2 linked regions of the Neodiprion lecontei genome follow. The protein of the gene in region 2 purifies or fractionates together with the protein of the main gene of each other region. This does not show direct contact. Links are inferred from orthologs where the notes say so. Each region holds a gene or a part of one and is shown on either strand. Other genes may lie near its edges.

Evidence for each region.
Region 1: the proteins of anillin (region 2) and septin-7 purify together in Drosophila melanogaster (affinity purification with western blotting; 3 studies listed by BioGRID, with this or other methods). This does not show direct contact. The link is inferred for Neodiprion lecontei from reciprocal best matches to the Drosophila melanogaster genes scra and pnut.

What each region holds. Positions count from the first base shown.
Region 1 is NC_060260.1:40,094,727-40,100,016, forward strand, and holds the start of septin-7, read left to right. Parts: upstream 1-2,259; 5' UTR 2,260-3,253; coding exon 3,254-3,625; intron 3,626-5,290. UniProt on the Drosophila melanogaster protein: Involved in cytokinesis and possibly cellularization. Also acts as an enhancer of the sina gene, thus having a role in photoreceptor development. May be involved in p53-dependent apoptosis.
Region 2 is NC_060261.1:15,614,818-15,620,050, forward strand, and holds the start of anillin, read right to left. Parts: upstream 3,027-5,233; 5' UTR 2,537-3,026; coding exon 2,519-2,536; intron 1,598-2,518; coding exon 1,471-1,597; intron 1,404-1,470; coding exon 1,203-1,403; intron 54-1,202; coding exon 1-53. UniProt on the Drosophila melanogaster protein: Required for cytokinesis. Essential for the structural integrity of the cleavage furrow and for completion of cleavage furrow ingression and proper formation of the midbody.

The sequences.
Region 1 (5,290 bases), on a different chromosome or scaffold from region 2:
GCTAACGTATTTTTTGCGAATTTTTGCATCCCTCCCCTAGTGATAATGTTTGCTTCTTTTGCCCACTACTATTTTTTAACGTTAGCTAACGCGTTTTCAAAAGTTTATTGGCAAATCGATTCCATACCCGGGAATGCCAGGAATGCCATTTATAGTCAAATCCTGATCAATTTATTCCTACATTATTAAATATCAATTATTATTAATTGTTAATACACATTAACGTGTTCAGTAAAACATGAATTGATTATTCATTGAGTATTAAATACATTGTACATTGTTTTTCTTCTTAAATGCATGCAATAAACATGATATTTGGTAACAATAAGATATAATTATTGAGTAATTAATGCATTATTAACACATCCTTTTTAAGAAACATTTCTATTATTCTCAAGCAGGCAGCGTCTTGGCTTTGAGCACGCACTTCGAATTTCCTATGTCAGTTAACGCTTGCCTGGAATGCCTACTATTATAGGGTAAAATTTGACAACGTTTCTCTAAATGGCCCGCCCCTGTTTTAGCGTTAGCTTATACTTGACTGGCCCCGTAGCTTACAAACCCAGAATAAACAAACTGCTGTAAACAAAACTCGCGCCTATGTATAAAGTACAGGTATATGATAGGTATGTATAGGTATGTATTAACATACATGTGACCTATCGTATTGAATTAGGTTGATAATTGTCAATACATACCTCATTTTTCGTTCTCGAAGTACAAACAAACCATCCATGCGGCGAAGATTGCACCGAAATGTGTGTATCAATAGTGTAAATAATGAGATCATCTACTGTCATTTTACAAATAATGGCTATGTGTATTTATGTATAACGATAAGAATCCTATTTGGGTTGTGGTCCGAAAATTCGATGAATTTCTAAAATGCGTTTTTCATGCCAATAGCTTGGGTAACGTTAGATAAAATAAAGCGCTGCAAAGTTAAACCCTCGACTATTAAAAAAAACCGGTATCGGATGTTTAATCAGGGGATCTTTTTTCCGACATTTCACGAATGGCCTGTATTGTAAAAACTCTCTGCGAGGGTTGTTAATCCTCGGTGGAGCAAATGCAGTGTCAACACGCCTGACGGTCCCCATTCTGTGCGTATACATATAATACACGTAAAAGGAGGTTATCTTGAAAGGAAAAGGTCGTCCACCATGAGGAGGGAAAAAAAAACTCAACCTTCGTTGCAGCAGATAAAGCAGTGGTGCAGTTATAAACGAAACATGGGTTGCTCGTCGGTAGGCGATATAAGTTTCCATTTGCGGTAATCTCCGTTTATTCACGAACAACGAGGCCACGAGTTTGAAAAGTAAAATGTCAATTTACCGACCGAGTGTCGGACACCTATTTTCTCCCCCGAGTCGTTCCCGAGTCAAGTGAAATCGTTTCTTAAACTTAGAGAAATCATTACAGAGTTTGCAATTGTGCTTGGTTATAAATAATGGTGATTGAAAACAAAGTAAATATCTACACGATACGGTTGATTATTCAGCAAATGTAGAAGAAAGAATTGTAAAACACGCTCGCCGAAGGAATGTAAGTTCTATGGGTAACACTGGAAGGTCCGACGCAGGGGCGTGACTAGACATTTAGAGACCCCGAGGTAAATCATGAAACATGTTCTTCTGGACCCTCCCCTCCCATGCTCAGTAATTTACTCCCAATAAAACAGTAGAATATTTGTTATATACATTCTATTTACTGTAAACTAAAACTACCATTTATCCAAAGAAGATGTCTCACATCTTTGACTATACAGTCGATATAACTATTAAATTTGTTACAATATTGAATTGAAATAAGTATTTGAAACGGAAAATATTAGAAGTACACTAACAAGTTGTTAGATTGGTTAAAATGATGCATTCCGGCATCTGATGGCAAACTAATGAACTATGACCAAACCTTGCGAAATGCATTTGAAAACAGTACGAAATGATAAAAGCAAAACATCACGATTACGAATCCGAATGAAATGTTACTTCATTTTTTACCCCCGTCTTGGGGGCCCCCGGGCATTGCCCCAGTCTAGTTACGCCCCTGCCCCAACGGTCCGACACCCCTTGAATGCTCCATTATCGCTCGCCCCACGCCTATGGCCCGTCGAAATTAGGGATGGCAGCACATGCGCTGAGGGTTGCAACGGCGTGCTGCGGCGACTCGTGGTGGGGGGTGCAGTGGCGTAGCGATAATTCCCTGCCCCCACCGCGTTTAGCAGCTGCGTCAGGCGTGGTCGTCGTGTTCGCGTCGCGAGTGAGTCGACGGCAATTCGGCATTCAGCGCGAGTGAGTCGCCGTTTGGTTCGCCGCTGACTGTCAGTTGGACCGACGCCGACAGAGGCAAACACGTTCGTTGTCGAGAAGTTTGTCGCGCATAGACACGCATTGTGCGAAAAAGTTTGGTCAAAGTTACCGGTTGACAGGAGGCAGCCTCCGTCTATTGTTTGTTTACGTTTTATTTTACAATCGTTACCATTTCGACAAACAACGATCGACTATCGGTTTCTCTGTATTATACACGCAAAACAATGCAACGAAAAGTGAGAGTGGTCTCGTCCTCGTCGTTTCTTCGCTTCGCTAGCACCGTTCGTAAGACGTGAATCACCTGGCGTGGCAAATTTTATCCACACAAACAACAGTGTCGAAGGTCCTGCCGCTGGCTAACGTTGATACTAAAGTCTGCTGGTGCCGCTTATTCTACGGCAAAAACGGGGCGGTTGAAAGACGATTTTTAAGCCATCGTGATAACATACCATATATGTGTGTATAGCAAAAGCCAATTACGGGGATGTATTTTGTCTGTTGTGACAAGTGAATGAGAAGATAATAAGTGCGGTAGTCTTATAAAAGGGTTTTTTGCTGTGTCGGCGTTCGAATACGAGACATATTCAACTAACGAACGGACATTACCGTTTTAGTCCTGGTCAACAACTCTTGCATGTTGTCGACGCCAATCGTTGAAAAGCCGCATCGTAGTGACAATTCGGTTATTCTATTCAACCCCAAACTTACGTTACGCGCCGCGGTGGGTAATTTGAGGTTAAGGAAGCGACGTCGGGTGATTAATAACTCGATAGGATTTGGAATATCTGTCGATTATACCAGTCGATAAGGGACAAACGGATAAAGCGAAAGCCGTGAGAGCAGTAACGGGTCGAAACCGTAAAAGTTCGGAGTAGAACGAACGGAGCGCGGTGAAGTGACCAAGAGACGAAGAAGAAGAAGAAGAAGAAGAAGAAGAAAAGATGTCGGTGGAGAACCAAAACGGCACCGCGACTGCCGTCCCATTGCAAACGAATGGGATAAAATCTTCGATAACTAGCATATCGACTACCTCGTCGTCGGTCGTCTCGGTTGGCGGCCGGACGATACCAAACAACTCGTCCTACCTTTACAGCACGAGCTCGGTACTGAATCGCGAAAAAACTCGTCAAGCACCGCCCACCTTGCCAAAGTACACGTCGAGCTTCAATGCCGGGACTAACGGCAATGCCGAAAGACTCGCCAGGGAACGAGAGTCCGGCGGCAGTTACCGACTCGCCAGTTTGGACAGACTGGCCCTCAGACAAAGGATATTGGAGGGCGAGGGGAAACCGAACGGCGACGCCGCATCGACGGTAAGGATTTTGATAATCGGATGCGGCCACGACACCGTCCTTGGACCCACGATTGAAATAACTTTGTCTTTCCTCGAGCGTTGTTTTCTTGTCCATTCTTTGGTACTCACAAATCGCTCCTCGACACGGCTTACTACGGAGGTGGTTATTTCACCCCCTTAAATTGTTTGATGACGGGTAAAAAAAAAATACGTAGTATACTGTAACGTATTAAAAAAGAAATCAAATCGGAGAGATTGACCTGGGATACCCTCCTTTGTTTTTCCTTTCATGACTGAAAAGAAGGACGAATTGGAATAATATTACGTATCGGTAGTACATGTACCGAGATCGAAGAAAACGAACTAACGAAACGATTTCAAACTTTGGCTTTTCAGCGCAGTTCTGGGAAAATTCTCGTACTATAAATATTTGTTCAATCGTAAATTAGGTTCCTCGAGTTAGGTTAGCTTCTACGTAAATATAAGTGTACTTGGAAAACACTATCACTGGGTAAGTCGACCGCATTTTCTTAGACCACAAAGTACCTGTATGGATAGGAAGATTTCGAATTGTAGTCATGCTGATACGAGAGGTTGAAATTCGATACTTTCGTACGACGAAGATCATACATTTTTTTCATGTTGAAGTTAGCAACGATTCGTGCTGAAGGAAAACCGTTATTTCGCGATTTTGAAACTCTTTGAAATTCAGTAAAACGTGATTAAACAAAACATACTCATATTTTGCAAACTTAGTTCCTTCAAAGTCATTGTAAAAATAAGAAAATAGTGATTTTTTTCCAATGTTTCGTTATGATGACGCTGCTAACTTCAACCTTGTAAATTTTTGGGAATCATTGTTATTTAGAAACTTCGGTATTGCCTGAAATACGTTACGCTGCGAGCAATGCGACAAAGCACAAAACATTACACCAAGTACTCGTATTACTGCAAACTCAACTAGTTCAGTGATTCTAACAACTTGCATATAGTGTTTTTTTCGCGACTTCGTACGTTATGAGGTTGAAGTTAGTAACGTTATCGTAACGAAAGATTGGGAAAAAACGTCACTATTTTCTTATTTTCATAATGATTTTGAAGAAACTAAGATTGAAAAATATGAGTATCTTTTGTTTTACATGTTACGGTTTACTGAATTTCAAACAGTTCTAAAATAATGGAACAACGGTTTTGTCATCAGCATGAATCGTTACGATAACGTTACTAACTTCAATGCGATGTCACGTTAACGCAACGATCCTCAACCTCAACCGTAACGCATACAATTCCTAAAATCTCCGAAAAAATGTCGCTTTAATCAGACTGAAGTTAGAAATCTCGGTCTAAAAAATCAACATAATTGGTCAATTTAAAAATGACTTTCAAGGAATTTGCTATTCAAAACTACAGTGTATTTAACGCACCAGTAGAATTGTCTGAAATTCAGTAAACCACGAACCGAAAATAACTACATTTTTCAAGAGCTAACTCTTTGAAAGTCGTTCTAAAATTTCAACACAATGAATTTCTTCCTGATGTTTCGTAACGTTAACGTTCCTTACTTCAACCTCTTACCAACTTCGTCCTCACGAGTAGGTATCAAGGAAATTCTCAATTCTCGAAACGACGCCGAGACACCTGGTGTATTACGTATACTACAGGTAGTACGATTCCCATGCATCAT
Region 2 (5,233 bases):
AAATTTTTCCTCTGTTCTGTGAATTGGCGAACTCAACTCACGGCTGCAATCCTCTGAAGAAATATATGTTCAAGTAATTCGATACATCACATTTGCAATCCTCAAAGCTATACTAAAACACTGTTCAATATTTTCTAATATAAATCAAAACTCCAAATGAATCTTAACTACTGAAAAGAATAGGTAATAAAAAGATTGAAAGTTTACGATATTCTGTCCTGAAATTTCTCGAACAGGAAAACATTTTTTACATCCAAGTTTTGATGGTTGTCAGATTTTATTATTGTTATTAGGATATCTCATTGACTTAGATCTGATTTTTCTGTTCACTTCAAGTCATAAAACTTAAGTCACAAATCATTACTTTTGTTTCGCAGGCAAAAGATATTTTCAGAAATTTTCAGTAATTTCTAAAAATTTACTCAGAATGCATATTTCTAAAAGATTTTCTATTTCGCTTAAAATATTTCAGACAAATTCGCATAAATTCCTAGGAGTTGTTCCGAAGTATCTCAATTTCTGTGCAGAAAATTAATTTCAACAGGTTTATCGAAAAACTTCGATATTTATTAAAAATTACTGTCAAAAATTTTCACACTTCTAGTTTGACTAAAATTATTGTTTTAGATATATCCAGATTTTTCAATGGCATTTCAGAAACATTCATATGCAACTGTTTCCTATGAAATTCCATACCGAAGTATGCTCAAAAAATATACAGGAACACCAGAAATCCGATTTTTTCAGATTTGTAATGCAAAATGGAGTTTCAAAAAAACTTGAGTTTCTCATAGAAATTGGTACAATTTTCACCTCTAACTTCACTTGGACAGAGACAGTCTAGAAGACAAAAATCTCAAGTTTATCAGATCTTTAAAAACTCTGTGGAATTTCTTCAAATCCCTTAGACTGATAGAATAATTCAAACTATTCCAGAAGTACTACAGAATTTTGCTTAGGACAGTCCAAAAACTAGATATATTTCTGAAAAATTCATTTAAAAAATTCTGAGAACTTTCCAATAATTCTCTCACTTGGGAATATAGTGATAATTAAAAGGTATGAGATATTGTGATCGGTACTTATTACAGATAGATGCTATGGCATCTGCCATAGTAGTACCATATCTATATTGTATGCAGGAACCAGTTTATGATATCAATGTGTGTAGGTGTGACAGCACCAACCAAGCAACAACTTACCAGAGTATAGCTTGCCCAGCCTTTGTAGTTTGGATCTGACACCGGATATTTGAGTCTCTCCATTCTCTTTGTTGGATACTTTGCCTTCTTGAGTTGTGATAGGAATTTTAGTAGGAGAAAATTTTCTCGGTGATTTAATCGGCGATTGCTTAACGGGAGAATCTTTAACCACTGGTTTAGCTGCCACATTGTGTTCCAGTACTAAAAGGCACAATACAACATCAAATAATGCAAATTGAACATGAGAGACACAAATGAATTAACGTACCTGGAGCCTGTGCCAAAATGGCATTAGCATCCTTCAGTGGACTGCGCCTCTTTTTGGGATCATGACCAGCATTTGACAATTGCGTGTCTAATTTTTCCCTCCTTGCTTTCGCACGCTCCAACATTCGCTAAAGTAAGCCAAAAAACTCGGATATCATAATTCACACGATGATGGTAGTAGATTAGCATAATAAAACAGTAAGAGGTATAATTCTGTACTTTTCTCACTTCTATTTAGACTTTTCATACATGCAGAAGAAACATAAGGGATTATTTTCCCTAATTAGCAAGTACAAAATCTGGCCAGGAAAGTTTTGAGCAGCTAAAATAATGAAAAGGGGTCTCAGACCTAGTAGTTGAGGTTGATAAGGTTTAATTTAACTAAAACAATATTATCTGAACACAGAGGAGCAGAAAAAATCGAGAAAAGCCCAGTCGTGGACAACAATTTTAATAGCACCATATCTTTGTTTTTAACCGAGAAGTGTGAAAAATGTGTCAAACAAATTCGAGAGCCTTTGATTACTGTCTAGACAAAGTAAGCTTTATTAAAATTAGACGAATTGGTGTCCGCAGAATGCAACAATAACCTAAAATCTCGATCTATGTTAAGGGTTAATTGCTTTATATTTACACTTGATTCAACTCAATTCGATCAAGACTAATTTCGCTTTGTGTTAGTATTGCTGAATAAGATTAAACCACAGAGAAATGCAACAGTCCATATGAGTTTAAAGTTCATAACGTTATCCTAACGATGCATATTCATGTGAAATAGTTATTTCACAAAATTAGTATGGTCTGAAATTCAATAAGACGTGACAAAACTATGCAGACTCAGATTTTGCAAACCCAACTTCTTCGAAGTCTTTCTAAACTGTCAAGATAGTAAGAGTTTTTCAATCGTGAAATTGTTGGGACCAGGCTACCTGGTTCATAAATTTTCTTTAGGATCACAACGGTCAACACGTGTTTGTATCTTACAATCCTATTCAATTCCAGACAAATAATGCCTCGGATCAGGTATAATTCCGCATAGCGTCGCTTACCTGAGTGAAGGGATCCATTGTTTAATTTTGGGCAGAAATTTAGAAAATTTCAGCACGCACGCTTGAAATCGTGACCCGACGTTTTCCGTCCTACGAAGAGCTCAGAGCGACGCGAATATACTTATTTATCTCGGGAAATAAGTGCAATAATATCAACGCACGCCGCGCCCTTCAACCGAACTCTTCAAACTGTCAACAACCGTTGCATTCAAATGCAACCGCCATTTTACGCGTTACTACGCTCACTGAAGTGGGATCACCGATGAAATTCAAAACGTCAATATCTCCTTCGATTCTGATCATAAACTTGTCGAACTTCACAGTTGTGGAAAGAACTTCATCGGTTATTTATTATCCTTTTTCAAACGAGATACGAGTTTGTCTTCCAATGTACCGGCCCGTGCAATTTGTTGCGACGATATATTTTCCGAAGTTAAACGTGATCTTGCCGTTCATTTGGGTACTGAATACCGACTCAATACTGACTGCTCGTTCATTCGCATCCTGTATAGAGCCCAGCCACCCGACGAACGAAGGCCCTATAGTGGGGGAAGAACGTTCGAAAGTTTAAATTAACGGGCTTTCATTGGTCGAGTTGTTGGAATAAATGCCTAACCGTTATACGTATTACAGATTATATCTCTACGCGTGCGCACCGGATTTGAACGTTGGTCATTCGAATTTTTTTGTAACTGGTTAATCAATCCGCAAAGGTGGTAAATTGTTCACAAAATTTAGTACGAGGTCCGAATCCCCTCATCCGCGTTCTTCCTTTGGGGAAAAGTTTTCAGATATTTCTCATAATTTTGTTGATAAATTTGATAGATAGTTTTCTAACATTTCTGAGAAAAATTCTGTACTGTATACAGTCGAGGGTTCTTAGGAAAACTAAGAAACTCGGAGAAATTTCCATTCTAAGATAATTCGTAAAAATTTAGTTTCAGTCAACGCTTGACAACCAAATGCAGCACCATTGGTCAAAGAAATGTATTCAACCCCATAAAGTTGTTGCTGGGATACCTGCAAATGTTTTTGTGTTATGGAATTTCTTCAAATAACCTCGTAATAATAAATATACATATAAATATTGAAGCCTGTATCTGAGCGTCAATCGATAGTTTATATTGTAAAAGAAGCTACTCAAGATTGAATTTGGTGAACATTATAATGAGAATTTTAAACGACGTTTGACAACTCATGCACCCAGTTCTGTGAAAGTAATATACCATAATGATTATCATATATATACAGGTAAAAAACTAGAATGGAAGAGAACATCATACGGACTTTTCGGCCGAATACCCTAAGAATTCATCCTAGCGAACCAAATTTCGAAACTGCAAATCCAAATATTAAGATGGATTATGTTGCAATACTATTATTCATTGGGCTGGTGGCTGTGCAATTGCTCACGAGCGCCTTTATTGGATACATTATATCAACCATATACTGATAATTTGTCTCACGAGTTTAATAAAGATCACTGAAATAAAATAATTGAGACCCTGATTTGGCTACTCATTAATCATATACATAATGATTTCCTTTATATTGCGATCGAATCAGTTAAAAATTTTGTCAGATGAAGTATAAATATACTGATAGTAACTGTTGTCAAGTGATTGACATTAAGATTATTTTATTATAATCTTGTCTGAATTGAAATATCGAACGAAAAATTCCAGCACTCTGCTGTTGCATAGCCAAACGATTATTATAGAACTGTTATAATATTCTATCATGATTAATATTATTACAATTCAAATTTCAACACTTCATATACTATTTATTAGCTGTAACATGATTATTTCAAAACATTGTATTGATTTTTATTTCTATGCATATAGAACTATGTACGTATTCAAATGCTTGTTATGTACTTAAATTAGATATTTATTATATTATACTACACACGGTTTCATAATAATAATAATAATGGCATGACTAGACAACGACTAAATAAGTAAATATACAGATGTTTCGGATATCAAGATTAGATCCAGGTAAATATTTAATTTAAATAATATCAAATTGTTAGTACATTATATCTCTCTATATGGTTTATAATCTCAGTCGATCGATTTCCTTTACATATTACACATCTGATTTGAATTTGGTATTTCTCTATTTTGTAAATTGGCCAAAGATATTCCAAAATCATGGCTTCAGTCTAAGAAATTTTAATGTGCGCTATATGCATTAAATATAGGTTATAGCATTATGATTTGTGCTGTATCACCACGGCAGTCAGTATATTTTACATGTTGTAATGCGCGAAAAAGAGCCTTATCAGATCCTACTCCTTAAGTAGACTTCAAAGAGCTGAGAGAATCGTGGCGTTATTTAATTCAAGCTCTTGGAAGATATAATTATGCGTATTACATTGATTGCTGCCAAATCGTTGAATCCTGATCTCAGCTAACATTTTGACATATCTTTGTTACATCGGAACACTTATTAATAAAAATTTTGAACAAAGAAATATCATTGTAACTAATTCATACAATCACTACTACATGTTTCATTTTCCCGATATTTCAGTATTAATTACAATTTGCAAATCACATGATTCAATTAGTTTATTTGAAGACTTCATCTGTATACATCATTTGTATACAATAATAATAAATATATACCAGAAGTATATTTGCTGCATGGCACCAGAAAGCTGAAGAAAATGTTCAAGCAATTCAAAAATATGAATGTTTACACACA